Linked DNA regions of Canis lupus familiaris. The protein of the gene in region 6 interacts with the protein of the main gene of each other region in a pairwise test. Links are inferred from orthologs where the notes say so. Each region holds a gene or a part of one and is shown on either strand. Other genes may lie near its edges. The genes, in order: PRKAB2, SEMA4G, RHOBTB3, RDH12, NEDD9, RBPMS and RBFOX2.

Region 1 (4,562 bases), on a different chromosome or scaffold from region 6:
ACTATACTAATGAGACACCAGTAACAGCATAAACTGAAGTAAACAGAGAATTGAAGGGACTTTCTCACCTTATGTAAGGAAGTGACTTAAGTGAAAACCTTGATCTCCATATTCCTAAAGGAATGCACCTTTGTCTGACTGGCTGCATTAGAATTACAAAAATTTTTACATATGCCTAAGAATAACTCAGATTCTGGTTTACATATGGGACCTAGGAACCTGTTTTTAAAAAGCTTCACAGAGAATATTATTACTGTGATTATGTTAAACAAAGGAAAAAACCTCAACTTTACAGATACATCCTAAAATATTTACAGATAAAATAATATTTGATAGGATGTCTGGAATTTGTTTCAAAATATTTGGTAGGGGGAAGTGGACTGGCATAGGCATGACATAAATTTGTTCAAATTTAATCATTGTTTAAACTGGGTGATGGGTATATAGGAGTTTACTATACTACTCTAACTACTTTGAAACATGGAAAATGTCTCTAATTTTCCATACAGTGTTTAAACAAATTTTAGGTGATTCTAATGTGCAAACAGGGTTGAGAACCACTGACCTAGTCCACTGAAGAGGACTGGCATTTGAAGCAATGTTGACCCCACTGCCACTGTTTCTATGAGTCACTTTGATGATTTAGTATTTTCAATTTCGAATTTGAAAGCTACAAACTATTAACATGCCCGGCTTTGGAAGAAAGCCCTTCCACATATGACATGACATTTCCGTGGCAGGCCTGAGTGCAGCTGACTAGCAGAAAGACCATTTACTCCAAGTTAAATTGTCAGCAAAATCATTATGAAAAGAGGCAAAACAATGAGAACTACAGTTTGAAAATATTTAAGTAAAACAATGAAGGAAGAAGTAAAGAGACTAGATTGAGAACTATAAAATTTTACATGTATAAGAGACCTTAGGAATTATCTGAACCAATTTTCTTACTCACAAATGGCAAGACTGGGGTTAGGGAAGGAAGGAACCAAAATAGGCTCCATTTCAGATGGAGCAACCTGGCTTTTATTCAGCACACCAATTATTGCAGTCAGAGTTTGACAAATACACTGTACTTAAATCCTGAGTCATTGACATAGGAAAAGGGTAAAATTAGGAGGTGGATCACCTTGAGAAAGCTTCTAAGGAAATTCAAAATGACTGGCTAGATGGCCCAAATGCTGAGAAAGAAGTTCTAAAGTGGGAGAAGGAAGAAAGGAATGGAGACGAAACCCCAAGATGGTGCTTTTAACCACCTTCACTTCTTTTTCTGTAGTTATGTTTTCAACTGGGATTCAAGAAAATAAACAGAATCCAAATTTCATGTGCTACCAATGGGGCAAATCATTTCTTTACTCCCTAAAACCCCAATTTGGTGAAAGGTTTGAAGTGATAAAAAAAAAAAAAACATCAAACACACCTGAATCTCCTCAATCCCTCCATTTTTTCTACTTCCTCCCACTCGGACTGCCTGGAGGGATTATTGTTATTTCATGCTGACAGCTCTAAATGGGACTAGAAATATTCGGATGGTAATCCCATTGCAGTCAACTCCATCTAATCTACGGGTGGGCACAAGTTGCCGCTTTTCTGGAAGTCCTTGGATTTGAGAGCAAGGTCTGCCTGCCCGGCAGCTGCGGGTTGTCCGTTTTCAGCGATGGTAACATCACGAATTCCTACTGGAAGAGGAGAAATCCTGGATCGTTTGCTCTCCCAGTTGACCAGTAGCTGGGTGTGAAGAAGGAAGCACCTCAGCCAACCGCAATATAAAGGATGAGATGAACAACTGAGCAGTCAGCCAAAGGAAGTCCTGTACTGATCTCCAAGACGAGGAGAAAGTATCAAATAGGCAAGTGGCTGCTGCTCACAATCCTGCCAAAGGGGAAGAGGATCCGAAGTGCTGGGTTCTTAGAGGAGCAAAAATGATACTGATACCTACAGGTTATCAGAAAAAAAGAAATTCGTTTGCCTACCTCAGGGTAAACCTGAGAAACTGTCTCAGATGATCAGCCACTCAGGCAACCTACCGTCTTTGAAGTTTTCTACCAGGGTCTATAGGGTTTACAACCCATAAACTCATCACTACTCTCCAAGAGGGCTCCTGCCTGTTCGGAAAACCGGGGATGGGTGTGTGTGTGTGTGTGGCGTTGTGGGGGGGGGGGGGGGACGACTCTACAGTCCCCATCGTAAAAATATGGCCAGCAGGTCAGGCGAACGACAGAAACCCCGCCTCTATAGTATTTCGAGGCAGCGCCGCAGGCGTCAGTTACCCTCCAACATCTCCGTCCCCCCCCCCCCCCCCCCCTCCCCAGCCCCATCCCTTTAATTCAGAAAACCGTAACGTAGGTCGGTGGGATGAGGAGGAGCCCGGAAGGGGAGGGGGGCTGGGCCGCCGGGGCGCGCGCGGGGAGACTCACCTTGGGGTCCGGCAGGCTGAAGACGCTGGGGTCGTCCGTACTCCCCACCATGATCTTGTGCTCCTTGCCCGGCGCGTGGCCGCCGGCGCCCTCGGCGCGAGAAGCCTTGGCGCCGTGGCGCTCGCCAGCCACCCGGTCGCTGGTGGTGTTTCCCATGGCTGTAGCTCGAGTCGGGGGCCACCTGCCGGGGCGAACCACGCGGGGCTTTAACACCCGGCGGCCGCGTCAGGGACGCCCCCCGCTCCGCCCCTGCGCCTGGGGACCCGGGCCAGGGAATCCCCGCCCCAGGGAAGCCGTGCCCGGGGTCCCCTCCTTCCTCGGCCTCCGGCAGCGCCCGCGGCCCCCCACCCCCCACCCGCCACCCGCCACCCGCCTCTCGACGCCCGCCGCTGGGGAAACCCGCTTCGGGGAACTCCCCGCATCCCCGCGTTCACTGCCCGGGGGAGCCCCCACCCCAGTCACCTCCCGCGATGCTCTTCCTCCTCCCCTAGCCACTCGCGAGATGGCTGTTCTGCGGTTACGTCCACCAATAAAGTTATTGAAATTGAAGCCGCGCCCCGGGCTGGAGATCCGGGTTTCCTCCTAAAATGGCTACGAGGCCAGGGGCGCCAGGCCCGCCCCGCGCGCGTTCCCTACGGCCGCGCGGCGACGGCTCCCGAGCTCGCGGCCTCTCTAGCCGCCGCCGCCGCCGCCTCGGTGGTGGGCAGCCTCTCGCGCCAGGCGGGGGCGCCCGCTCCGCGTTGGCCTCGGGCTGGGCGGGGCGGGGCGGGGCGCGGGCTCCGCCCACCCGACCCAGAAACCCTGGCGCGGTCAGCCGCGGGCCGGCCTTCCGGAGCAGACGGGCTCCAGGGACCGCAGGGCCGCCTCCCGGCCTCAGGCGCTCCGTACCCGGAGAAGCGGCGCTGCCTCCTTGCCGCCCGCCTCACCGGGCTTCAGGTTAAACAGAACGTTCTCTGGGCAACCCGGACAGGTGGGTTCCTCCAGGGATTTAGAAACAGAATTTCCTCCTGGAATCAGAAGGAAGTAGTGGCGACTGCTTGAGGTACCTTCCAGCTGGCTGCGGTGGGGAGCAGCCTCGACTGGGGCCCCAGTGAGGAAGGAGTAATTAGGCGAGAAACCTTGACAGATGCGTGAAACTGGTCTGAAGAGGAGGAGAAAGCTATTCTGAGCTAAGAAACCGCGAATGCAACGAGCAACCCCAAAAGAAATGCCATTTGAGGAAGACCAACAAGAAGAGAAGGAACAGTGAGAGCAGAAAAGGACAGAGATTGTCCTCGGGTTGGAACGGATCTAGGTTTTTGCTGATGATTAATGGAACGTGTATGGTATTTACTAATTCATTCTTTGTGTTATAATTATGTGCTTTTCCGATTCCCTAGCGGAAACCGTTATCACTCAATGTGTGTGACACAGACCAGCAGCTTTGCCATCACCTGGGAGCTGGCTAGAAGTGTAGAATCTGAGGCTCTATCCTACAGGATCAGAATCTGCATTTTAACAAGATCCTCAGGGGAATGTGTATACATATTAAAGTGTCAAGCACTGCTTTGAAGGCTGGCAGAGAGCAAGTCTAGTTTTGATTCCTCTTCCTGTTCTGCATGCATCTTGTCCGGAGTAAGCTTTTAATAAATATTTGCACAGTGAAGGGTATAATACCGTTTACTACATTTCTAACAAGATAATACCACTTAAACAAACAGCGATGGGGGAATGCCACGTCGTACAAGGCCACCCTTTTTGAATGAACAGCTTTATTTTGTTGAAAAGCTTATTTTTCATAAAAAAAAAAAACCATACACTTAGGTTTGACAAATTCGCTTCTCTGCCTTTTGTCTTTCCTCTGCCCTAGTAAACTCAGAGATTCTCTGGTTCTTTTTTTTTTTTTTTTAAGATTTTTATTTATTTATTCATAGAGACACAGAGAGAGAGAGGCAGAGACACAGGCAGAGGGAGAAGCAGGCTCCATGCACCGGGAGCCCGACGTGGGATTCGATCCCGGGTCTCCAGGATCGCGCCCTGGGCCAAAGACAGGCACGAAACCACTGTGCCACCCAGGGATCCCAGATTCTCTGGTTCTTAACCAAAGACAGTTTGCAGAAAAAAGAATGTTGCGGATAACATTTTTACTGTGACCTTTTGCTCCTCCCT
Region 2 (4,038 bases), on a different chromosome or scaffold from region 6:
CCTCCTAAACCTGTTCATCCAGTCCTTCCCACCTCACTTCATCCATCCATCCTATTACTCAGTCCAGATACGAGGAGTCATCCTTGATGCCTTCCATTCTCTCACCCCCATGTTTGGTCCTTCTCTAGGATTCTTTGCTGTAAGTGTCTCCTCACGTGGTCCACTTCCCCTCCACCTCCACCACCCTAGTCCACATTACCGCTGTCCCCTCTTCCCTGGATAAATGTAGAGATTGCCTGACTGTTCTCCCAAGCCGCTGTGACTATAAAAGCTACTAATTTATGCAGCGAATGAGGAATATAAGTACACAGTATAAAATTCAAAAGGTACAAAGGGATAGGCTGTAAACAGAGGATCTCCTTTTAGCCTTGTTGGCTTCAAAGGGGACTGCTGTTACCATTGTCTGGAGTCTCCTTTCAGAGATGCTCTACCAATCATCTCCTCTGGCAACCCACTTTCCAAGGCATATTTTAAAAATATAAACCAACTCACGTCACTGCTGTATTTAAAAACCTTCAGTGGCTCACCAGAGTCCTAAGCATAGGGTCCCACCACGTCTGGCCCTGCATGAAAGGCCTCTGCCTCTTCCTCACCCCCTCACCCCTCTAGCCACACTGCCTTTCTTTGCCCATTAACTGCTATAAGCTAAGCCCCTCTTGACTTCTTTGCCTTGTTAGTGATTTTTCCTCCTGCCTGCTACCCAGGGTGTGAATCCATGAAGACCTCTTTGTCTCATCCCATTCCCTCCCTGGGTATATCTGTCCCTCCTCTCCACTAGCCTGTTCAGGCCTCCCTCCTCTGACCCCATGATGTCACCAACTCCCATTGCCTTTCCTGCCTCCAGACTCACTCTATTTTAATCCATCTAGTGCTTGAGACTGGATTAATATTCCTCTAGTAGTGTTTCCCTAAGTTGTTTACATAAAAAAAGAGGGGTCAGGGAGGAATTCTGTGGTCAAATAAGTTGAGAACCATGGCTAAAGCTTGCCTTTCCAGGGGACTTTTCAGAGCCTTAAGGATATTGCTGTGCATTGTAGAATTGAGCATATAGCACTTCCCAAACTTATGTGACCATTAAACCTTTCTTTTAAGAATTAGTGTTCCTTAGAACATGCCTTGGGAAATGTTCTCCTCAAGCCTTGCTATCTGAAGGATGGCTTGGGGACTGGGAGGATCAGTGTCCTCTTGAAGCTTGTTAGAATTGCCGAATCTTGGGGCCTTCCCCAGACCTACTGAGTTAGTATCTGCATTTATAACATATCCAGGGGCTTCATGCACACATTAAAGTTTGAGAGTCTATAAAGTACCAAATGGTGAGGGTGCCCATTGTCACAGAATAAAACCCATCCTCCCAGTTGATCATTTACAGTCCTCTGTGATCTGGGCTCCACTTCCCTCACCAGCCCCACTTTCTACCTATGCTGCATGCTCTATCAGCAGGCACCTTTGATGGACTCTCTTAGAGGTGCCTCTTTAAAGATTTATTTATTTAAAAAAAAAAAGATTTATTTATTTTATTTTAGAGAGAGAGAGAGAAAGAGAGCACTGAGTGGGTGGAGGGGCAGAGAGGGTGGAGGAGCAAAGGGAGAGGGAGCAGCTGAGGGAGTGGGAAAGGGGAAGTAGACTCCCTGCTGAGCAGGAGCCCCAGAAACCCAAGAAGCCCAAGGTGAGCAGGGAGCCCAATGCAGGGCTTCATCCCACTACCCTGAGATCAAGACTTGAGCTGAAACCAAGAGTCAGATACTCAACCAACTGAGCTACATAGGGCTGCCTGAGCTCTGTGGGCTCCTTGTGAGGAGCCTGCTTCTCCCTCTGTCTATGTCTATGTCTCTGCCTCTCCTCTCTGTGTCTCTCATAAATAAATAAATAAATAAAATCTTAAAAAAAAAAAAAAAAGAATCCTTGGGCCAGGACTGTGTTTTTTCTTCTTCTTTTTTTAAAGTAATCTCAAAAAAAAAAAAAAAATCTCTATGCCCAATGTGGGGCTTGAACTCATGACCCCAAGATTAAGAGTTACACACTTTACTGCCTGAGCCAGCCAGGCGCCCCTAGGAATGCATATTCTTAAGAAGCTCTCCATATGGATCTGTTACATAGCCAGACATGGGACCCTTGCAGACACCCTGTTTGTTCTTAAGCCAGAAAGAGTTGACAATTCACTACCACTCCTCCATGGCATTCCTTGACCAAACCTATTTTTCTCATCTGTAAAATGGAGGATAAGACTATTTCATAGGGTTATTTTAGAATTAGGAGAGAAAACAGCTAAGTTAACATTTACTAGAGACTATTTATTACTCTCATGATTATTATTCAGGAGCCCAGAAGAGATTAAGATGCTACTACAGGCCAAGCTGGTAGGCCACCAAATGTTTGGATTAGAAGTGCTGCACCTACGGCCTGCCACTTTGGCTATACTCACATGTTTGTTGTGGTTGTTGCAACTGACTGGCTGATCCATACCTCTCCATCTGTGTCCCCACCAACCCTGACATTCCCAAATGAAGAGGAAAAGGAAAGAAGTTGGGGACAGGGCAGACCACATACCTGGTTGTTTTTTCCTTTTTGATGACATTTGCTTTGCATCTCTGGGGAGGCCTCCCAGTGGATCTGGAGATGGGGAAAGGGAATGGGTTGAAGTGCTGACCCCAGTACCCTTGTCTTTCACCGTTATCCATGGAACCAAGTGATAGGACTGCAGGAACCTGGGGTATAGGTAAGTTTCAAGAGTGGCACTGAATGGTAAAGGAGACTTGGCTTGGGAAGGGCAGTGCTATCTGATCAGGGGGCTATGGAAAGCTGGCAGGGCTTCTAGGAAATTGAGGTTCCCAGGGAGCTGGATAAAGCTGGAGACCTTCCGGGTGCTCCAAGTTCTAGGGGCTAACCTCTTTGTGAGCCCCATCTCCTATGTCACGGGCATTGAGAGAGAACAGGGCACCTCGGGCTCCAACCAGCAGTCTTGCAGAGGACTCCTCCAGTAGCAGTGTTGAGTAGTTCTGGGCTTGACCCTTGAAATGCCGGGTCCTAGAGAGCTCTGGGAAGAGCAGGAGCAGTGAGCCCAGCCCTGGGGCTGCCTCTCTATTCCCAGACCTGGCTCCTGCTGTCTTTCAAAATTTGAGGGTGGGGGGATCTAACCTTCATAGGGGATGGTCATCCGCGGGGTGGCATCTAGTTCTCTGGATGGTCTCCGAAGTGAGGGTCCAGGGACTGCAGTGGCTGTGAGGAAGCTCAGGAAGAGGGGCCAGAGCCTCCCCCACATTTTCCTGGGGAGGCCCAGACCTGTAAGACCCCCCAGGGGAGCCAAGGCCAGAATCACAGGGGATGATGGGAAGAACAGTCACGGGGGTCAAGGCCCAGGGAGGTGTCACTTGGAAGGTCAGGGGTCATGGGGCCAGGGAGGGTCCTGGAATCGAGGGGACATGGAATCACAGGGTTGTGTGGCCATGGAATCCCAGGTTAGAGATCAGAGAGAGGGATATATCACACACTGCCTTTCTGCATCATATACAAACTCCGTGGTGGGAGGAACTTGTGGGGTCATAGAGGGGTTGTAGGTCACTGATGGGGTCACCCTGCCCCGACAGAAGGACTAGTCTTGGTTCTCTGAGGTCCGTTTTCTAAAGAAAAAACAGGAAAAAAACTCTTTGATCTATGTGTGGGTGGAAGGTAGATGGCATTACCCCCCAGACATCAAGGGGTACTGGGGGAGGTGGCCTATAGAACTCCCACATCAGGATCAGTTCACTGTGACTCTGTCTACCTCTCTGTTCTGGTGCGAGTTGGGCAGAACTTGCTCTCCTTACAAGACCCTAGACTCCTCCCAACCCAAACCCAAAGTTAATGGCCCTCCTCTCACCAAGTAGGAAGCTAAGCTAGGCCTCCATCTCAACTAGAGCTCTGTTTTCAGGGAGAATGCCTTCTCCATCCAACAATGAGACCAAACTTGGGGCAGCAGTTGTCCTGGCTGCCTGCGGGGGTGCCTTATGCAAGAAGGCTGGGGCAGAGACTTTTAATGGGCCTTTGTTTATTTTGTCCTGT
Region 3 (4,038 bases), on a different chromosome or scaffold from region 6:
AAGCTGAGCCGAGGAAAGGGTTATCGGTAAAGGGTTGCTGCAAAGATATGTATCTACTAAACCAGTAAAATTCAAACTTCTCTAGGAAGAAAAATTCTTTACTCTAAAGCAAACCTTCGGTCTCTAAAATCGATAATAACACGGTATTTTGGTGGTTAGGCTTTTCCTAACCTACACCCCACTCTTGCTTCCCTCTGCTGCCTCAGGTACCTCCCAGACCCTGGATGGCTAAGAACAACCTGAAAGCCACACGCCCGGGAGCCCCGGGTCCATTCTTAGAACAAGTAAGCACCAGAACGATGTTCAGTGGGATACCTAACAGAAGGGCACGAAGAACCACTTGTGAGAACTGAGACTGCATTTGCTGACCAGACACTTCTGAAAGCCCTGTTCACTAGGTGACCCAGTGCCCCAAGTGGAGACCCACGTGAGAAATTTCTTCTAGTGCTAAATGGCATGAATTGCTTTGCTTTCTCAGATCAACTGTTGTGTTTTCTCTTCTTCAATAATAAGAACCAAGAAATTATCTGCCTCCATTGTTTATTTGGCTATTCCCCACCCATCTTCTTATCCAAAAAGTATTTAAAGCAGTAGGTTTGCTATGTAACCAGCCAAGTCTCCCCTCTCACTTTGCACACCGGAAAATTCAAAGCCATCTGTGTATTACTTAGGATCTATAGATCTGCTTTAAAAAAAAAAAACAACCAAAAATTTCCCATACTAATTTATGTTTTTTTGATTTTTAATTTATGTTGATTTATTTAACAAGTACTTATCAAGTACCTACACTTTAAAACAATATCCACAGCAAATTGGTCTGCATGAGTACTATTACTCTATCTCTATGAGAATTATTAAAAATTTGATGAAAATTAATTTTGATAAAAATTGTGTATATTTATTTTTATTTTCCTCTAACCTTGGGTTATGAACATTTTCAAACATTTGAAAAAGTTCAACGAATGATACAATAAGCACACATATATCCTTCACTTGGATTCTGTAATTAACATTTTGTCATGTTTGCCATATCTCTAGGTAGATACACACTTACACACAGACTCATATTCCTGAATCATGTAAAAGTAGAGTTGTAATCATAAAGATATTTCAGCTATAAATACTTTAATACTCATTTCCAAAAAATAAGGACATTCTTCCATTAATGATAGAACCATTACCATACATCCAAAAATTAACAATTCCCTCATGTCACCTAATTTCCAGTCCATATTAAAATTTTACCCAACTGTCCTGAGAAAAGTCTTTGAGATGTTTTTATTGAACCAGTATCCAATCAAGGTTCATGCACTGCATTTGCTTATCATTTCTCTTAGACTTTAATCTAAAATAGCTCTTCACCACATACACTATTTTTAAAAGAAGCTTGTAGACTCAAGTTTAAGACAGTCCAAAATGGGTCCAAAGTACCAGCTACTTCAGAATCACCTGGAAACGTATTTTAAAAGCAGATTCCAAATTTGGGAACAACTGCTCTAACACTTGTGAAGTGATCTATAATAAATATCAACTGAATGTCTAGACATTGGTTAGTAAATGCACCTGGTTGTTCAAGCTGAGGTGGTCTAATTCCATGAAATGAGTTGCTCATTTTTCTTTTCTTCATTTTTTCACTTGTCTTCTGATTTAAGGCTTGAATCATAAAATACTCCAACTAAAACAGGAATCAAATTTTAATTAAGTTAAAACTAAATCTTCAACAAAATTATGTATCTAACGTAATTATTTGTACCCCAAATCAGATTTGCCAAATGTTTTTAATTCCAGTACCATCTACATGTACGCTTTACCAAACACTTAAACAATTTGTTTTTCTTTTTTAAAAAATGTATCAAGTTGAACAGACTGTGCTTGTCCAAGCATAAATAAACTATCTATTCAAGAAGGAACTGTTTATTCTCTTGAATAATCAAGAAAGTCCAGCAGTACAACTGTGTGACTGTCAATAACCATCTCGTGGACAACCGCAGCAGTCAATACTAGAGAAATTCAAGGCTGGACAGATCTGGCTCTATGTCACAGATGCTCAGATCAACTAGGGATGTTTACATATGCTCTATTTTTTCTTGAATAAATTACACTGAAATACATCCTTTATGTTAGAAATTAAAAATCCTGGGGTGCCTGGCTGGCTACATCAGCAGAGCATGCAACTCTTGATCTTGAGATTTTCAATCCGAGATCCATTTATTAGGTGTAGAGATTACTAAAAAATAAAATCTTAAAAATAAAATCCTAACCACACTCACTTGCACAGCACAAGGCCTATATGCCTTGTGCTGTAAGGCTTGGGGCAAAGGTACAAATAGAGGTCCATGTACCACATACACTAATATTTAAACTCTGTAAATCAAGAAAACAAACTAATCTGTAAAAGACGTTATATCCTCTTACTTTGACAGATATAACATCATAAAAGCCTAGAAGGCCAGGTTTGGATTTAAATTCTCAGACTTCTCAGAACTTCAGGTAGGACAGGGAGAGCTGGCCTTAATTCCAGATCCCAAGACCTCCCCTTCTCGTCTCACCCCTGCTCCATCCCAAGCCTCAAGGAGCTTTTTGCATACGAGCAGACATCCAGGCCTGCATATCCAAAACCTCCTACGCCATCATCCTATGGCCACCTTTCAGACTTGGGGACACACACACTAGTAATGCAGTCCACCTGCGGGAGGATCAACCCAGGAAAAAGGCCTGCGCAGGCCTGAGAAACAGACCGCTGGTCAGAGAACTTTGGGGTCCTGCATTTGGAACATGGTTGTAGCACTGTAACAACAGAACTTTCTTTTCTGCATTAATGGAAATGTTCTGTAATATCTGTGCTATTGAATACGGTAGCCACAAGGCACATGTAGCTATTAAGCACCTGAATGTGAGTAGTGTCTCTGAGGAACTAAATTTTCTTCAGTTAATTTAAATATAAATAGCTATAGCTATCTGTGGGTAATGGCTACCCTAACCCAATGGTGCAGGCCTAGAAGGGCTACTAGCTCCAGGAGGGCATACCCCTTGGCTCCATCAACTTGTGACATGGTGGTGCAACTGGAGGGAGTGCCAGATGGGGCTCTCGAAAGATAAAGGGCACACACTCCTCTTGCCCAGGTCTTCATCCTTGATTCTTAAATACAAGATTTTAAATGCTCCTTTAACTTTGACATTATCGCCTCCATCTATACTCCTGCAAATACCACCATTTCTTACAGTCAAGATCTAAGCTGTATTTTACTATTCAACAATCTCAAAAGGGATCATTCTGATCTTATTTCTACATTCTCACCAAGTCTTAAGGATAAAAGAAACTGCCATGTCTTTCTTCCAACCTTGACCACATCTTCAGTTCTTATCATGCCTCCAACCCTAACTGCAACACCAGGCATTAGGAGCAAAGAGAAACAAGGAGGAGGAAGCAGAAGCAAGCAGAGGCAAGTGGGAGTTGGCAGGTGGGAAGAGTGACCCTGGGATGTCAGGTTCAGGAAGTGGAGCCGGGAACAAGGAAACCTACATACTCCAAGAGAACCAGCCCCCTCTCCTCTCCACAATGAAACCGAACTGTCATTTCCCCCCAGTTCCCTAGGTATTTCTGGGAAATGCAAGATTCTTAGACTAAATTCAGATTGTTTTTAATCCACTACAATATAATATCTTATTTATTTATGATAGTCACACAGAGAGAGAGAGAGGCAGAGACATAGGCAGAGGGAGAAGCAGGCTCCAGGCACCGGGAGCCCGATGTGGGATTCGATCCCGGGTCTCCAGGATCACGCCCTGGGCCAAAGGCAGGCGCCAAACCGCTGCGCCACCCAGGGATCCCTATAACATCTTTGATAGGAAAATTAGATGTCAGTCCTCTCTACCTTTCTAACCTTTCTACTTTTTACTTGTCACTGTAAATAAATAAGATGAAAGTTTCTCATAGTCATTGTAATATCAATATTGTGAGTCTATCTTAATGCTGTATTATTAATATTTCTTTACATTAGTGGGCTAAATAATAGCCACTTATACATGACAGAAATC
Region 4 (4,735 bases), on a different chromosome or scaffold from region 6:
TATCTTCATGGACACCACTCATTCAGTTATTCATTCATTCATTCATTCATTCATTCATTCATTCAGCAAATGTATACTTAGTACTGACTCTGGGCCAGGCCCACTCAGCTATGCCCTGGACATATAGCCATAAAACAAGACACACATAGTCCTTGTCCTTCATGAATTTCATAGTCCTTGGTAGAAGCTAGTCATTTTCCAAGATACAGAAGAATTTTGGCAGCAGCACAACTTCATCTAGTGCCTGGGGCCACAGGAGGTTGATTCTCAGAATGAGAAGTGTGTGACATCAGAACCACACCTTAAAGCCAAGCAGCAAGCCCAGACAGACAGCTCAACTTTCCCATTGCTGAGGAAAACCATGATAAGGATCCTGCCCAGCTTGTCCACCGCCAATTCCTTGCCCTGCTGGTTCAAGTGGCAGAACCTGTCCAGTGGGATCGATAGTGGCTCTGATGTAAGGGTCCCAGGTGGCACAGGGTGGAACAGCCACCTCCACACCCAGCTTTCTGCTTTTCTGTCTATTGGCAGGGGACTTACCTGCCAGAAAGCCCTCAGCAAAGGCTCGGATGGACTTGGTATCAGATAGGTCCAGTTTCCGCACCAGCACCTGGGAGTTCTTTGTATCAGCTCGGATTTCACTGGCTGCAGACTCCCCCTTCAGTACGTCTCGGCAGGCAATGTACACTCGGGCTCCTGGGGCCAAAACAAAGAGAAAGCCGTATGTTCAGACCCTAGGCTAAAAAAGTAGATGTAAGCTTGAGACTAGAGGACAAAATATTCTCCCAGCCATCCCTAAACCATGAGTGGCTATATTGCCACCTCAGGATTCTCATAAGTAGAACTGCTCAGTCCCTTTGCTGTCAGCTTAACCCTAGGCTGGGAACCCTGGTTTTTACCCACTGGTATTTAATGTTACCTGGTATCCCATTTAGAATAATTGATTTGACCAATATTGTACATGAACATCATTATTTCCCTCCATATACTAGGGAAAGAGAAGGGAGGGTGGGAAGTTTGTTTAAAGGTACAGAGTAAGTTGGTGTCAGAGCTGGACTTGAATCCCAGGTTCTTTAAATTCCCAACCAAAACCTCCAAGCCTAGGAGGAAAGATAAGGAAATGTGGACAGAACCCCCAGTTTGAAAGGCAAGAGGCACTGTCCTATGAACACACAAGGGGAAGGACTTGCCTCTGCGAGCCAGCTCTCTGGCTGTCTCCTTGCCAATGCCCGTGTTGGCGCCGGTGATCACCACTACCTTCCCAGGAAGCTGCACGTTTGATCTACAAACCCCACCAGCAAAGAACTTCCTATAGGCAAGGGAAACAAAAGCACTCATGTATCATCCTTCCAAATTCCAGACTGAGATCAACATAAAACCCATCCAGCCTCAAAGGGAAATTTCTTTACGTTGTCCTCAGGAGACCCAAAGAAGCTAATCTTCAGGAGACACTGTTTTCCCACTGGGCATCCTGCTCATCAGCTCAGGTTGGGAGGTCATGTGCCCAGAAACTACAAATGATTATTTTGATGAACTGAATAAGTGTTCTCGAGCCAGGGCCAATGGAGACCTTCCTCATTAGATAACATGGATGCCCAGCTCTTATTTCTAGAGGTTCCCAGAGGTCAGCTTCCTCCTCTAACCTGCATTCAGAACATATGGGTGATGAGCATTAGTGGAATCAGCGTTCCTGAGCCCTAGGTCTTCAATAAGCATCAAGAGTGAATAATTGATTAATAGCACTATGAATACAGCTCTTGGGCTGCCTCTCCAGTTTTAGAAAGCCAACATCTTCAAAGGCTTTCTGCTGTCCTACTAAAGAGTCCATTCTAGCCATCAGTGCAGAGAGAAACTTACCTTGTCCATTTGCTTGTGCAGAGAGCACCCTCTCATATAAAGTTGACTTGACAAGTTCCAAAAAAGAGGATGAGAACAGGGCAGAACTAACATTTCCTGAGCATCATCTGACTGCCAGACACTAGGCTAAGCGCTTTTTGTAAAGAACTTATTTTAATCCTCTCAACCACTCCAGTATTAGCCCCATTTTACCGTGGGGAAGACCGAGGGTCAAAGAAGTTCAATCCATTTGCTAATGGTGGCAAAATTGGAACTTAAACCCAGGTTTCTCTGCCATGACCTAGAGCAACACTCTGTTCCTGATATGTCCATTTAATCTTCTTTATTATCAGCAATTTTCAATTTTTTCAATCAGAACACACATTTCTTTGACATCTCCAGGAATCCCACGGCAGAAGATCCATCCCAAATCATTAGTTGAGGGTAGCCTCAAAGGTAAGAGAGTTTGTTTCCTTTACAAAATGCCTGGTACTTAACAATAAGTCCCTGAGCAATGACCTCCCATGGTAACCCAGCAGGGCCACCTTGACCGGGGGCAATAAAGAAGGGACCTAGGGCCCTTCAGAGAAACCCAAGGGAATAGAGTGATAGAGCAAGCACTTCCACCTCAGCTGTCAAGCTACTTTATAGAGTCAGCTGTCCACTGGCACCGGAATTCAAACAAGCCCCTTCTCTCCCAGCCCCAGGTGCTTCCTTCTCGTTTTTCACGAGGGTATTGCTAACGACCTCCTTCCTGCTTTTTCTGCCCTGACCTTCCCTTCCTCAGCCTCAATCCCCTTCTCTTCTCTCAGCAGCTGAGAACTGCTACTTACAAGCTACGCATATCCCAATCCAGGGCTTTGCAAAATATTCCATGAGTTACTCAAACAGGACAAACCTGATGGATGGAGCTATCACGTACAGGAAAGAAAGGAAGGAGGTAAGCAGTCCCAAGATAGCCAGCATCTTTTCAACTTCTTTAGTTGCTGCTGCTTTAGCAAAAGCAACTTGAACTCCAAGTCTGGCTCAAGCTCCTGGTCTGACTCCAACTCCTGGCTTCTTTGTGCTACCCCTGCCTCCTCTAGCTCCTCTTGCTGCTGAGTGAGTGAGAGCTCAGCGACAGCCAGGCTGGAAGCTTAGACCAGAATCCTATTTAAATCCGAGAGCTGTCAGAGCACAGCCTGCTGGGAGATGTAGTCCTGGGCAAGCGGACAGTGGAAAGAGCACTGGCATTCCCTTACTGGCAGAGAGAATTAGGATGAGGGGAAAATAGCAACTGCCTGCTAACTCTCCACTCTCAATTATTTCTCTTTTCTAGGGAATGTGTTCTCCTAACCACCCCCAGCGCTACTCCTGCAAGACAGGATATTTTTAACTTTAGTAGCCGACCCAATGACACTTGTAATAAAAGTGTGATTAAAACAGAAAGAGAAGGTAGAAACTCCCAGGAGAATGGTAAGAGTGGTCAGGAGGGTGGTTTCCCTTGGTGGGAAAGGGAAAGGGGTAGAGACTGGGAGGGGGCATGTTGAGAACTCCTGTGGGGATAAGCGTTCTGTTCTTCGAGGTGGGTACTGGTTACAGAGGAATGCTCAGTTTGTGAAAAATTCATTGAGTCATACACTTGATTTGTGCACTTTTCTGTGTTTTATGTTATACCTCAGGGAAGCTAAAACATGTGTACATGCCAGGGTAAGAGTTTCAGTGCATGGGCTCTAGAGTGGAGTTCCTGGTTCAGATCCCAGCCATCTATTTGCAAGCTCCAGAGCCCTGTGTAGTTACTCAGTTTCCTCCCTGTGCAATGGGTATGGTAAAAAATATATACCTACCTGTTTTAAGTATTAAATTAATACTTAAGTAGGCAGAAATTAAATTAATTAAATAGGTAGAAAATTTGAGAAGAAACTAGCATATAGGAAACTAGCATATGTGAAAGAGTTGGCTCTTTTGATTAATTTTTTAAAAATATTTTATTTATTTATTTATGAGAGACACAAAAAGAGAAAGAGAGAGAGGCAGAAACACAGGGAGAGGGAGAAGCAGGCTCCATGCAGGGAGCCTGACACGGGACTTGATCCTGGGACTTGAGGATCACACCCTGAGGCAGGTGCTAAACCACTGAGCCCCCCAGGTATCCCATGTTTTGATTCATTGTATTGATTCCTGTCTCCTTTGCTATCCCACTTGCTTTATTCAAGGGTTTGGGGCAGAAAAGGAAGACATAGTGAATGGGAGTAACATTTCAGTTGGATGCTTTTTTTTTTTTTTTTTTTTTTAAGTAGTCTCCGGATACAGGGCTTGAACTTGTGAGATCAAGACCTAAGCTGAGGTCAAGAGTTGGACATGCAATTGACTGAGCCCCTCAGCTGGATGATATTAAAGATGAAGGAAAACACAAGACAAAAAGCTAGCAGATACTCTTGGAGCCCTCCAAAAATGTGTGAGAGGGTGGGAGGAGGGTTCACAGTCCTTGCTCACTCAACATCCCTCTTCTGGATGGGTTGACAGGCCAGAGTCTTCAGAACAGGACCCCAAGAGTCATGCCCTAGTTCTGCTTCTTCCTGAGAAGCTAGAGCTTCCTAGGCTCCAGGAAGACGCATGTAATGAGGAAGATTCCTGTGGCAGGCAGGTGTTCACTCCCTCATTCATCCATTTAACATATACTTGCTAAGCACCTCTTGGTGTCAGGCATTGTGCCAAGTCTTAAAGACACAGTTCCTGCCCCTTAGGAATGTCATGGGCCTGATGAACAGAACAAGGTGTAATCAGATCATTCCCAGGAGGAATCTCTCTTGACTCCCATGTTGCCTCTCTCCTCTCTTCCCACTTCCTCTGCTCTGGCTCCAATTCACTGCATCCATGCCAGTTGCAGAGCCCTCAAAGTCCCAGAAGCCCCCAAGGA
Region 5 (4,038 bases), on a different chromosome or scaffold from region 6:
CCTGACGTCCAGCCTCCCAGCTTGTCTCATTGGAGGGGGGAAATCATACTCTTTTTCCCGAAGCCCTGCTTCATCTCGGCAAGCAGAGGGTGGAATGGCATATAACTGAAAAGGGAGTAGGAAAAGGAGTTATTATTTGTTCAGCTGGCTCATGTGAACATGCAGAAACTGAAAAGGACATGAAAACGAGGCCCGATTTCTCAGTCCGAATCACTGGCTCTTGTCTTCCACCTTCTACTCACTTATGGCCGGTGGTTCCCAAGGCTCCGCTCTGTTCTGTTCTCACTTCCTTCATCCTTTGACAGGACCGTCCTTCCCATGGCCTCAGTGCTGCCTGTGTGTGGAACCTTCCTGGCTGAGTTGCTCTCCCTGGGGCCCAGCCCCGCATTTCTGACCACGTCCTGGGGTCTCCTTCCTCGGCTGATCCAACCGGGGAGGCAGACTGTGCGTGCACACACAGGACCAGGTGTCAGAAGACCTGAGGTTTCTCCCTGCATCTATCGGCCATGAGATGCTGAATAAGTGGCTTAAATGTCTCCACACACAGCTCCCTTCTCTGCACGATAAGGATAACTACGCTTGCTGTGCAGGAATACCCCAGCGGGTAACAGAGTGCATCAGACGCAGCAACCCCAGTCTACGAACTGAGGACGCTGTAACACTTCTAATAAAAATGAGATATATTCATTGCTTGCCAAACTGAATTATTTTACGGAATCCCGTAAATATGGAATCCTTAGACTTCTCTTTGAGATTTTTTTTCCTTTCCTTTTTTTTTTTTAAAGTAATCTCTGTACCCACTGTGGGGCTCAAACTCATGACCCTGAGATCAAGAGTCAAATGCTCCACTGACTGAGCCAGCCAGGCACCCCTGGAATCCTTAGACTTATCACTAACTATGGCCTTTCCTTCCTCCCATTCACTCTCTCATAAAGACTAGTTTTTCCCCTTTGGTTTGACCTTCTTGTTTCATCCCAACAAACACACACACACACACACACACCTTTTTTTGCTGCTCGTAGGAAATTCACTTACCCCTTTAGTAGGAGGGATGTCATAGACGCCTTGAGGTTTTATCTCTCCCACTGGCAGTGAGAACACAGGGACTTTCACAGATGACGGAGGGATGTCATACACCTGAAGAGAATACACTTGCTTTACCCAGAATAGAAATATTGTATCCTTGTCATTTCTTAATCTGCTAAGCCTTTCATTATGGGTTTATTTGCCACGTTACATGTACAACCTTGCTCTTTAGCCACACTATGTCATAAGGGGTTGATAGGATTTTTCTTTTTATATTTCATATACTTTGACTTAGATTGAGTATAAAAGTGACCCTATGTGAAATTATCTACACTGCCTGTACTTTGAACTATAGTTTAAATCTTACACTTCCCGAAGGAAAATGATAAGCAACAAAAGCTTTGTCAGATAAAAGCCTAGGGCCTCCTGAGAAGGCAAATCCCGAAAACATAATTTGAACAGCTTTGGTGAAAATGGCTTCTGGATGATAACCTAAATAGAGCATCATGTGAAACATGCATAATTTGTGAACATCCCTTTGCTCTGAAGCCCTGAGGGATGCCACCCTGAAGTGTTCCCCTCCCCGGGTGACCACGGTCCTGGTACGTACCCCTTGAGTGGTGTGGGAAGGAGGGATGTCGTAGATGTCCTTTTGGTGTCTGGACGGGTACTCGTACACATAGCCCTGGCCTGTCCTCACTGGGGTTACCACCTGTGGGCAGGAAGACAAAGAGGGTGTAAACTTCTGAACCACAGTCCTGAGTGAATCTTTTAGACTCCTAACCAGGCACTCTCCTCCGTCACCTATCTCCCATAAAAAGAAAGAAAGAAAAACAAGGAAGGGAAGAGAAAACGAAGGAGACATGGAGACATCAGGTCAGAACACTTTTAAACCCCCTCTTGAATCCCAATAAAGAACAAATCCCTGAAACAGCTCCAACCCTCTTCCTCCTAATGACAAAGTTGGTCAAAGTCTCAATCCCAAGTATGTACCTTAGGGGAGAATCATTTTTAAATTATGAAGGTCCTAGATCATCCCTTAGAAGCACCAAAAACATAGCCTAATGGGGAAAAAAAACCCCACGATTTTTTTTAAAGGCTCTGAAACTATTTGTCAAGAGAAGAATGCAAATAGAGAGTTGAACTACTTAAAATTCCTCTCATACCTTCCCCAGGACGCCTCTTCATGTGACATGATTATTATTATAACTAAAATTCCATAGGTCACTAGAGTACTTATATGAAGCGAACGCTCAAGCAGTGCTGCTCTCGGAAGCCTCCAGGAGCTTTCAATCTAACCTTTGAAACAAATGACAGACTGGGTTGAGAGTCACCAGGAACAGAGTTCAAGGTCTCTAACCCTTTTCTCATTTCTACCAGGAAAGCAGACATCCCAGACAGTACCTATGTCCAAGGGATGTGGGAAGTCAAACACACTCATCACAACTCTGGCATCTAGAACCAATGCCAATGAAACGAACCTCACCCGACAGGCTCGTATTTTCCTATCTACCATCCTTCACTGTGTCCTAAGTACGGGTAGAGAAATTATTTGAACTTAAACTCATTTGGAAACGTATTTAGTCCTCCAAGGACTTCTAAATGACCAGGGTCTTGTTTCTATCTAATGCAGGCCCTTCCAAATGACTAACAAAGCCCCTCTTAGTATTGCCCATGAAGTCTTATTTATTTATTTTTATTTTTTTTTAGGAGAAGGGGCATTGTAAATTAGGCAGAGTTGGTTCTTCCCTAAGAAACTGTCATCTTTGATCCTTTCTCTAATGTGAAAATTCTGGCGTCGGGCTGCCTACAAAACTATGTGAAAAATGCTCGGTGTCCGTCTCATGCTGAAGTAGGTGGAACTCAGCCAGATGCACCAATGCCCCCTCTCCCCGGGAGCTCTAAAATGCTGAAATCCCCGGTGCTTGCAGCTGATTACTTCTTGCAATGAAGGTAAAGATTTGTACGCAGCCACTATCCCATCAGATCTCTCCACTGCCATGTTTGTTTGTTTTTTTTTTTTTTTAAAGCATCTATGGCTTTAAAGATTGTTGGCATGGAGCATACAGAACCATTTATACACTGGCCACTGGATTGTGCAGAGCAAATCTTCCTTTTAAAAGCAGCATGCCCTTTGCTCAAGAAAAATGCACTGTCTTCCTCCTGCCCTTATAGGATTTTTTTTTTTCCCACTCGCTATTATCCAGGAGAGAAGTAAAGTATCTTTTCTGAGTTTATCTCCTCAGCCCCTCTATTTATAGCTCTCTATTTTGGCTTCGTAAGAGAACCTGCACACAGCACAGCTTTTGTTCAGTCTGAAAGTTTCTAAGAGCGGATTCTGTCCAAGGTTGCCAAGCCAGTAATAATGCTAATGGAAAACCAAGGCTGGTTATGCTGAAGGCCAGCTGAGCGTTTCCATCCTTAGTTTAAACACGGGAAGGGAGGCTGGGAGATAGAGGTGGGGGTGCCGGGATCTGAAAATAGTCCCTGGTGAAATGTAAACATATGGCAAGACCTCAGAAAGGCAGGGTCATAGGCAAAGCTTTTCCTTGCCTTGGTGGATCTGCCCTGGCAGAGAGCATCCGCGCTTCCCGGTATTTAACATCTCGCTTCCTGACAAATGTCACAGAACCTCAACTTGCTCTCTCTTTCTCATTTAGAGGATGCCTGTGGTCATCTGGTTTTTAAAAACTTTGCATTCCAAGCCAGTCATTTTCCTTGTTTATGCATTAAAAGAAACAGATGGCGCAAACCGCAGAGGGAGAAAGCCAACAAAATACAATCTCTCCCCGATTCCAGCATTCCCGACGGTACCATCTAATGCACGCTGGTCCACAAATAGCATTTAAAAGGGACCAGCGTTTTGCATCTGGTCAGATGCATCCCTGGCGTAGAGCGATGCACTCTGTGAACATCTGAAGGAACGAGGAGCGGGAAGTCTTCTACTTTGCACATTCTTTTCCTCCACCCGTCGCTTGGGTGACTCTCATGCCAACTGTGTGTTCTCCTGGG
Region 6 (4,098 bases):
AGCCAAAAACAGATGCTCAACCACTGAGCCATCCAAATACCTGCAATTTTATTTATTTTTGAAATCTCATCAGTTGTCTCATTCTGAGCAAGCTCTCTATCTAGGTGGGTCTCCCCTGCAAAATAATGCCTAAAGACTACTACCATGAATCTGCCTAGTGTCCTTGTGGTGGCTCCCTATGCTGAGACACTTCCACTTATTCAGTCCCTCCTGCAGGGGCTTTGTAAAGATGTGATGTCATTCAAGGCTGAAAATCAATCTCTGATAAGACTGTGTTCATTTATTCAAAAATATTCACCGAGAGCCTACTATGTGTTAGGCACTGTCTAGATATTGGGGACACAACGATCAAATCAGACAAAGATCTTCTTCTAGCCCTTATTTTTTTTTTTTTATGCCAGATGTCTTTGACTTTTAACAATGGACAAAGTGCTGGCAAAAGAATCAGGTTCTACATTTGGAATTAGGCCACATTTCCCTGGACGGAGGTAGCAGCAGCATCCTGGAATCATACAGCACCTTCCACCGACTTGTAAGTGGAGTCTGACTGGAATCATCAATGACTAGATCAACTGTCACTTTTCTTGGGCCTTTGCCAGGCTCCAGCAAGACAATATCTTTCTGTGGAGTGTATTCAGTACCTGGCAATGGCCCAGGAGGGCAAAGGGCCTGTGTTTATTGGTGGCGCAGGGGCCCAAGACCACCACGCAGCCATTGCTCAGGAACACATTGCCCCCTCGTGGTTCTTTACGTAATTGAGGGAGGGACTGGGATTGGAAAGGCTCTCCAAATTTCCAGATTAATCGTGGTGGCCTTTGCCTCTTCTGAACTTCCATTGCAAGTTCAACAGTTTCTTGGTTTATTTTCATCCAGGATACGCTTTCCCCCCACCCCCCCCACAGAGGCACATGACATCCTGACAGCAATTAAACCTATTTATCAAAAGCTTCAGACTTCCCCCACCCCCAACCCAAGAAAACCCCAGTAAGTGAATGCAAGAATTACCACTCTGTTTTTCTTCACAACGCTCGTCACACAAGTATTTTCTCTGCTTTCTGCTATTTGAACCAGGATCGCTGATCATGTGGCCATGGAGTTGTTTTGGGTGTCTCGTCTCCACAACACCAGTTAAAACTCCCTAGAAGCAGGAGCCTTATCTTCACCCCCACCTCCACCCCACCCCCAGCAGCACTTAAACCAGTACAGGGTGAAGAATGTCTGGCGGGGAGGGGGGAGAGCAGAGAAAGATAAACAGTGAAGCGAGCAAATAAATAGAAGTTGTGATTGGTACTGTGCTGGAAAGGAACAGCATGTCGTGTGAGAGAATTCCTGGGCGTGGGAAGTGAGGGAGAATCTTCTGATAGAGGCCCTTTTAAATTTATGTGTTTATGATACAGGAATGGAGAAGCTCTCTATGGCCCCGGGAAAATGGAAATTTCCTTAATAATAATGCTAGTTTCCCTGTTCTGTAAACTTACACCGGGCAGGAATGAGTGCTGGGTGCTCTAGCTCTACCAACCTATAATCTCCTCTAATTACAACCCCCCTGGGAGGTAACTATAACTACTCCCATTTCGCAGGTGAGGAAACGGAACCCAGGCAGTCCTCTGGCGCGTGGTGCTTAAACAGGTACTGGGTGCCCCCCTCCCAGAATGCTGAGCCCTTTTTCTTCCTTAAGGGGCTTTGACCCTCCGAAGATCATCTGGGTTGGCCTCCAGCTCGGCTCGCCGTGAGCAACAGTCACTTAGCCAACAAGTATTTATTGAGTGCCTACTGTATACCCGGTAGCGTATTTAACTAGCCGTGGGATTATCAAGGTAAACAAGGACACGGTGAGGCTGGCGTTGCGTTGTGGGGAGGCTCCCCCGGAAGGGTGAGGGAGGCAGGCAGGTAAGCAATTCCAGGACGGTCTGCTGAGGGCCGAGAGAGGGGCCTGAGCAGAGGGGGGCGCGAAGCCTAGCAGAGGGCGAAGGCCGGGGCTGAGAGCCTGGGAGGGCCCGGCGTGGGAGGTGGGTTTGAAGCTGCGCCCTGGAAACGCCGGCCCCGAGCCGGCTGCCCCCGGACCTCGCTCGTTCTCTCGCATCCTGTCATTTCGAGCTGCCAAGTAGGAAGGGAGGAAATAGGTCTGAGCCGGTGCTGCAGAGGCAGGGCAGGCTGAGCGACGGGGGCGCGATCCCCACGGCGGTAGCCCACGGCGCGTCCCGGGCGTCGCGCGGGCCCGGCCCGGCGCCCCGAAGCCCCTCTCCAAGCGGGCGCGCACCGCCGCGCGAGCTCGCCAGCTCCGGGGGCCCCCGGGGGCCGGGGAAGCGGGAGGACCTGGCCTCCCTCCCTCGTCCGCCTCGGCCCCTGCCCTCCGACCTCCCGCCGAGTCGGGGGGCTGGGGTCGGCCGCTTCCGCCCGCCGCCCCCCGCCCCTCCCCGGCGCGCGCCATCCGGCCGCGGGCGGCCCCTCCTCCCGAGGGGGGCTTCTGCGTCCCGCGTCCCGTCCCTCCGGGCTGAAGCTGGCAGCCCACGTCTAGGGAGGGCGGAGGGAGGAGGAGGAGGAGGGGGAGGGGGAGGAGAGAGGGGAGGGAGGAGGGCGAGAGAAAGGGAGCTGCTTGGATCCCGTACTTCTCAGAGCCTGCCTGGAGCGCGCACTCAGCGGCTCTCCGGGTCCCAGCGTCCCAGCCGCGCCCCGCACCTCCTCCTCCTCCTCCTCCTCCTCCTCCTCCTCTTCCTCGGGTCTGGGCACCCCTCGCCCCCTCCCTCCGGCCCCCGCCAGGCTCGGGCAGCGGCCGCCCCCAGCCCCGACGCGGCCACATCCCCAACTCTCTGGGCTCCCTCCTGGGACGCGCGCCCGCGCCCCATCCTTTCTTCCTTCCTTCCTTCCTTCCCTCGCGCCCGCCCGCCCGCCCGCGCTCTCCAGGTCTCCCTCCCGGTCCCGATTGTCTCCGTCCCCGCCGGCCCGCGCCTCGCCCTGCCCCGTGTCTCCCGCGCACTTCCTGGGTCGCCTCGCCTCGCCTCGCCGCGGAGCCCGAGCCGCCGCTGCCCCGGCTCCAGCCCCCGCAGCCCGCGGCGCCCGCCCGAGGGAGCCCCGGCGCCCGGGGAAGGGACAAGCGGGCGAGCGCGCCCTCGCCCCAGCCCCGCGCCCCAGCCCTGCCCGGCGAGGAAGGACCGGGAAGATGAACAACGGCGGCAAAGCCGAGAAGGAGAACACCCCGAGCGAGGCCAACCTTCAGGAGGAAGAGGTACCGGGGGGCTCGCTGCGGCGGGGGCACGACCTGGGCGCCGCAGTCCGGGGTCTGGGCACGGCCCTCGCCGCGACCTGTGGCCCCGGGCCGGGGGGGGGGCGGCGGGGGGGGTCTCTTCGCAGAGCGCGTTTCTAAAGTTGCGTAACTTTGAGGACTTTTCGGAGTTTGCTAAGTATAATGCTCAGCTTTGTCTGCGTGGGATTTTAAAAGCGGAATCGAGAGCTGACTCCCGGGTGACCTCCGGTTCCTGGGACCCAGAGGGTCGGGACCGAGTCTGCGACCGGGGCTGGGAGTGGGGGGTGTTTGTGCGTGCGGCGTGAGGAAGGAAGGAACTCGGGGAAAGTTCTCGGCGGGGAGACACCTTCAGTTCCCTGCCCCCTCCCCCTCCCTTTTCAGTGTTAAAAGTTCTCGGTGCGATCTCTTTCCAGCTGAGGCATTCTGGATTAATAGATAACTCATCAGCTGCATTCTTCTCTGATGAGTCAAAGACCTCGAATCTGGGTGATTAGGGTTTGTAAATTTTAGGGGCGATGCGGCTGGGGTGGGGTGGGGGAAGCCGAATAAAAGAGTTTGAGAGTTTACAACTCGCCAAGAGATCATCTTGGCTGTTTTAATAGCACTTTGACTCCTGAGCGTGAATTTTATGTGGTGCGTCCGTAACAAAGTTAAAAACGTTGCGGCGGCGGAGCGTTCCTTGGGGTAGAAACCCCATTTATCCGTGGGAGGGAACACCTGAACGGACGGTTTCAGAATTTTGTAGTTAGGATATTTGTGGTATTCTTTCAAGTGGCTTTGTTCCTGCAGGTATGTTACCTGGAGTCCAAGAAACAGTACATGTTTCGCCTGCTTTTTAAGTTCTCCCATAGCTG
Region 7 (4,038 bases), on a different chromosome or scaffold from region 6:
TAGAATCAAATGGGATATTTTCTGCTTTTTAAAAGTTTGAATCTGGGATCCCTGGGTGGCGCAGCGGTTTGGCGCCTGCCTTTGGCCCAGGGCGTGATCCTGGAGTCCGGGATCGAATCCCGCGTCAGGCTCCCGGCATGGAGCCTGCTTCTCCCTCCTCCTGTGTCTGCCTCTCTCTCTCTCTATCTCTCTATGTCTATCATAAATAAATAAATCTTAAAAAAAAAAAATAATAAAAAAAAAAAATAAAAGTTTGAATCTACTGCTTAGATAAGTATTGTATTTGCTGGTAATGTCCTAAAATCAAGTGTAAGAATCTTAGTATATTCCATGATGTCTCCAATAGATAGATTTAGCCCAGCTTCTCAAACAGATGGTACAAATCAGCATAATTTGCATTTATCAGCATAATTTACATTTTGCCTACCCATTTATCAATGGTCTATCTTGTGATACCACTGCCTCCCCCTTTACCTCTTGTTTTTTTTTTTTCAATGCCCATAACAAAAACAAGTTTCTGCAATTTTGATAATAACTCATGTAAACAAAATAGGAAGGAGAGGCAAAGTTACATTTCCTTTAGATCCAGGGAGAATGCTGTGGTAGAAAGAGTCACTGACTAGAATTGAGAAGACAGAAATTCTACTTCTAGATTTGACTCATTTTACTCTGTCAGTGGACCAATCTTTTTAACCTGATTCTGTTTTCATCTCTCTTAATTGGTGATCACAGAATTTTAGCACCTGAAGCCTCTATAGAAGTCATCAAAATCCAGCCCTCTCTTAGCTTATTATTTAGGAAATTAAGCCCAAAGAAGTATAGTACTTATTCATTGTCCCAGATGTGGTACCTATCTTACCTCTCCCCTTGGGTTTTGTGAAGGTCAAAATACATTGTAAATTTGTACAAAACCAAACATACAAAAAAAAAACTAAACGTACTCAAAGTATTATTGACAGCATACCATTACATACCATTATTAAAATATGTAATATACTTAAGGGAATGCTTAAGTAATGGTGCCATTTGCAGGAAGAAAAAAGTCATTTTTTAAAATATTATTCTAAATTAATACTCAAGCCTAACCAAGCCAAACTTGAGAGACCAACAGCTGCTTGTGGTTTAAAGCTTCTGAAAAGAGTGCGCTAGATGCCTTCTAGTGAAGTCTCAGCGATTTAGTTTACATTGGTTGGAATCACTTGATTTGTCTGACATTGTAGAACATTTGTGTTCTTACAACTCCAGTAACATTTGAACTGAGGTATTTGCCCAATTTTTATGTAAAATCATGTGTTCACCATCTATGAGCACATAAAATAATGAACGGGGGTTAGATTGGTTCAGGATGAATGAGTTTTCTCTTGAATACTGTCTCCAGTCTTTAAGAAAAATAATGGAGTATGTTTGCTTATTTGTGTAAAATTCAATAAAAGTCTATTGATTAAAGTTTTCATATGAAATTCTACTCCTTGGGGATCCCTGAGTGGCTCAGCGGTTTAGCGCCTGCCTTTGGGTCAGGGCATGATCCTCGAGTGCTGGGATCAAGTCCCGCGTCAGGCTCCCTCCATGGAGCCTGCTTCTCCTTCTGCCTGTGTCTCTGCCTTTCTCTATGTGTCTTTCATGAATAAATAAATAAAATCTTTAAAAAAAAAAAAGAAATTCTACTCCTTAACTATCAATGGGCAGTAGTACATTTTTCTCTTTTTAACGTCTGCTATATTTCTATAAATATGAAAAAGGGGGATGAAGAAATAAAGTTGACACCAAACCTAATGTTTGCAAGTACTTAAAGTTTATAAATGCTTAGGTTGGTACTCAACAGCAGTCTAGTATCCTTTAGCTAAAACAACTAATTAAGTATGTTTATTACCACTTAAAATCCCAAAAAATGCATGAAATTGGGGATGTACCTTGAATTTTATTACTGAGTGTCTCTTCTTGTTCACTTGGCTGAGGATAACTGCACCGAAATTCCATTGGTAAATCCCAAAGAAAGGGGATTTTCACTTACCTAGATTTCCATCAGTATGGTATAATTGAACAGAGTCAAAGATCAGCTCAAATTTAAATTCAGAATATACCTTTATAAAGCAGTGAGAGTAGTAAACAGTGTGAAGATGATGAATAAGAAAGTGCATCACAGTGTGGTGTACAATGACATATATTCTGCCTTTCTCATTTTTCTAAAAACAAAGAATTTTTTTTTCAAAGAATATGTTCTAAGCAGTTCTATGAAAGAGACGAAACCAGAGCCCAGGATTTACTTTTATTTCTTACATTTCTTTGTCCTTCTCTTTCCTCCCACCCAGTTTTTCTCCTCCCCATTTGCCCCTATACCTGCAACACCCACCCCCCCTTATTATCCCTTCACTGTGCTTGTTCTGCTTAAAGATGCTCAGGTGTGGAAGTGACCCATCAGCTGGCGTCTACAGAGAAGATAGTGTTGGGTGGAGCTTAAATGCAGGGATGTCTGGAGCCAGCTTTCACATGCCCTCATCACACCTTTTCCTCATGGAGTCTTAAATGCTCTCTGTCCTCTCTTCCATTGCAGGTTGGAAATTAAGCCCCGTAGTTGGAGCTGTATATGGCCCTGAGTTATATGCAGGTAGTATTTCATTAATTTTTCCATTTGGCCTATTGACCATGACAACATCTGTTGGTTTTCGATCTACTATTCCTTTGTAATCTTTTTGCATTTTTTTTAATTTTTTTAAATGCAATCAGCATCCAGCTTTCAAGCAGACGTGTCCCTAGGCAATGATGCAGCAGTGCCCCTATCAGGAAGAGGGGGTATTAACACTTACATTCCTTTAATCAGTAAGTAGCCTATGTTGGCCTGGCATGGATTTTGACTGTTGTGAGTAAACAGTGATGTGTCCTAGTCTTTTTCTTCTTCCCCAAGTATAATATATAACTGAGGAGGAGGCCTTCTCAAGAGAGTTAAATGCTGTCACAGTGTCCCATCCTGCTTAACCTGTGTAAGAATCTTTCTGACCAGATACTGAGATTGCCACGAAGCATAAATAGTTGGAAAAGGTCAAGGGGATTGAGGACATGTGTAGAACATTTTAGTCTGCACTTGATTTTAAAACCAAAGAAATAGATACTTGTGGAATATAATATGCATGTTCTCTGCAGGTCAGCTTTGGGCTTTTTAGTAGAGTATCATTTAGAAGCACCTCCAGCATTAATGATTATTCTCCCTCTGTTGATACCTCTGAAGTCATTCTGACCTGAGCCATTTTGCTCTAGCAAGGTATAATTAAAAAGAGTTCAGTGAACATGGAATAAATGTCTCTGTGTGCTTTCCAGAGGATAGCACATTTAAAATAGACCTTTAGAAACTTTCTGCCTCTCTGAAGGCCACAGGATTACAAGGGAGAAGTCGTTTTCCTCTCCCCTAACATTTCTGGATTAAAACATTTTAGATAAAAGAATAAAATGGACTAATGAAATATCTAAAGATTATTGTATGCCTTGGAGGTTAGCACCACATACAAACACAAAAGACTGCTCTTATGAAGAATAATTATTAAGTGCACATAACAACATGTGAAAATAAGATTAATAATTGGCCAGTTAAAGAATTAATATCAACAATTTAAACTGCCTGCAGAAATTAAAAGTCTTGTCTCTTACTACGGCAGTAGTCCTCAGAGCTTCTTGACCTCTTTCTCACCAGCTTGCATTGTAAAGGCCAGAATTGTGAAGGAGCAGAGTAAACTCACTCAAGATTGGATGATGAACGGAGCATGCATCATTAGTTTTTGCATATTGGGTCTCTCAGTTTCTTTCTCAGAAAAGATGTGATAATCTCTTCCAACCTTTCCTGGAATTGGTTCAAAGCAAGTTGTGATTGTACCCCTGCTATTGAATTCAAGTTGACATTCCTGTCATATTTTGGGTCTCCCTTTAGTTCCTGGCTTCCCTTACCCGACTGCAGCCACCACGGCAGCCGCTTTCAGAGGAGCCCATCTGAGGGGCAGAGGGCGGACGGTATATGGTGCAGTCCGAGCGGTACCTCCAACAGCCATTCCC

Evidence for each region.
Region 1: the proteins of RBPMS (region 6) and PRKAB2 interact in binary tests that used the Homo sapiens proteins (3 or more experiments, as listed by UniProt). The link is inferred for Canis lupus familiaris from reciprocal best matches to the Homo sapiens genes RBPMS and PRKAB2.
Region 2: the proteins of RBPMS (region 6) and SEMA4G interact in binary tests that used the Homo sapiens proteins (3 or more experiments, as listed by UniProt). The two-hybrid records come from large-scale screens. The link is inferred for Canis lupus familiaris from reciprocal best matches to the Homo sapiens genes RBPMS and SEMA4G.
Region 3: the proteins of RBPMS (region 6) and RHOBTB3 interact in binary tests that used the Homo sapiens proteins (3 or more experiments, as listed by UniProt). The two-hybrid records come from large-scale screens. The link is inferred for Canis lupus familiaris from reciprocal best matches to the Homo sapiens genes RBPMS and RHOBTB3.
Region 4: the proteins of RBPMS (region 6) and RDH12 interact in binary tests that used the Homo sapiens proteins (3 or more experiments, as listed by UniProt). The two-hybrid records come from large-scale screens. The link is inferred for Canis lupus familiaris from reciprocal best matches to the Homo sapiens genes RBPMS and RDH12.
Region 5: the proteins of RBPMS (region 6) and NEDD9 interact in binary tests that used the Homo sapiens proteins (3 or more experiments, as listed by UniProt). The two-hybrid records come from large-scale screens. The link is inferred for Canis lupus familiaris from reciprocal best matches to the Homo sapiens genes RBPMS and NEDD9.
Region 7: the proteins of RBPMS (region 6) and RBFOX2 interact in binary tests that used the Homo sapiens proteins (3 or more experiments, as listed by UniProt). The link is inferred for Canis lupus familiaris from reciprocal best matches to the Homo sapiens genes RBPMS and RBFOX2.

Annotation. Positions count from the first base shown.
Region 1 is NC_049238.1:58,294,390-58,298,951, forward strand, and holds the start of PRKAB2 (5'-AMP-activated protein kinase subunit beta-2), read right to left. Parts: upstream 3,044-4,562; 5' UTR 2,877-3,043; intron 2,872-2,876; exon of another isoform or gene 2,788-2,871; intron 2,596-2,787; 5' UTR 2,571-2,595; coding exon 2,415-2,570; intron 1-2,414. UniProt on the Homo sapiens protein: Non-catalytic subunit of AMP-activated protein kinase (AMPK), an energy sensor protein kinase that plays a key role in regulating cellular energy metabolism.
Region 2 is NC_049249.1:13,849,375-13,853,412, reverse strand, and holds part of SEMA4G (semaphorin-4G), read right to left. Parts: intron 3,618-4,038; 5' UTR 3,260-3,617; coding exon 3,136-3,259; intron 3,035-3,135; coding exon 2,886-3,034; intron 2,611-2,885; coding exon 2,548-2,610; intron 1-2,547. UniProt on the Homo sapiens protein: Cell surface receptor for PLXNB2. May play a role in axon guidance.
Region 3 is NC_049224.1:13,896,277-13,900,314, forward strand, and holds part of RHOBTB3 (rho-related BTB domain-containing protein 3), read right to left. Parts: intron 1,676-4,038; coding exon 1,564-1,675; intron 975-1,563; exon of another isoform or gene 207-974; intron 1-206. UniProt on the Homo sapiens protein: Rab9-regulated ATPase required for endosome to Golgi transport. Involved in transport vesicle docking at the Golgi complex, possibly by participating in release M6PRBP1/TIP47 from vesicles to permit their efficient docking and fusion at the Golgi.
Region 4 is NC_049229.1:41,962,037-41,966,771, reverse strand, and holds the start of RDH12 (retinol dehydrogenase 12), read right to left. Parts: upstream 2,974-4,735; 5' UTR 2,803-2,973; coding exon 2,735-2,802; intron 1,310-2,734; coding exon 1,191-1,309; intron 697-1,190; coding exon 541-696; intron 1-540. UniProt on the Homo sapiens protein: Retinoids dehydrogenase/reductase with a clear preference for NADP. Displays high activity towards 9-cis, 11-cis and all-trans-retinal. Shows very weak activity towards 13-cis-retinol.
Region 5 is NC_049256.1:12,162,885-12,166,922, forward strand, and holds part of NEDD9 (enhancer of filamentation 1), read right to left. Parts: intron 1,739-4,038; coding exon 1,637-1,738; intron 1,138-1,636; coding exon 1,036-1,137; intron 106-1,035; coding exon 1-105. UniProt on the Homo sapiens protein: Scaffolding protein which plays a central coordinating role for tyrosine-kinase-based signaling related to cell adhesion. As a focal adhesion protein, plays a role in embryonic fibroblast migration.
Region 6 is NC_049237.1:34,777,312-34,781,409, reverse strand, and holds the start of RBPMS (RNA-binding protein with multiple splicing), read left to right. Parts: upstream 1-1,298; 5' UTR 1,299-1,580; intron 1,581-1,678; 5' UTR 1,679-1,817; intron 1,818-2,904; 5' UTR 2,905-3,160; coding exon 3,161-3,226; intron 3,227-3,691; exon of another isoform or gene 3,692-3,706; coding exon of another isoform or gene 3,707-3,730; intron 3,731-4,098.
Region 7 is NC_049231.1:29,471,946-29,475,983, forward strand, and holds part of RBFOX2 (RNA binding protein fox-1 homolog 2), read left to right. Parts: intron 1-2,551; coding exon 2,552-2,605; intron 2,606-2,724; coding exon 2,725-2,817; intron 2,818-3,904; coding exon 3,905-4,038. UniProt on the Homo sapiens protein: RNA-binding protein that regulates alternative splicing events by binding to 5'-UGCAUGU-3' elements. Prevents binding of U2AF2 to the 3'-splice site.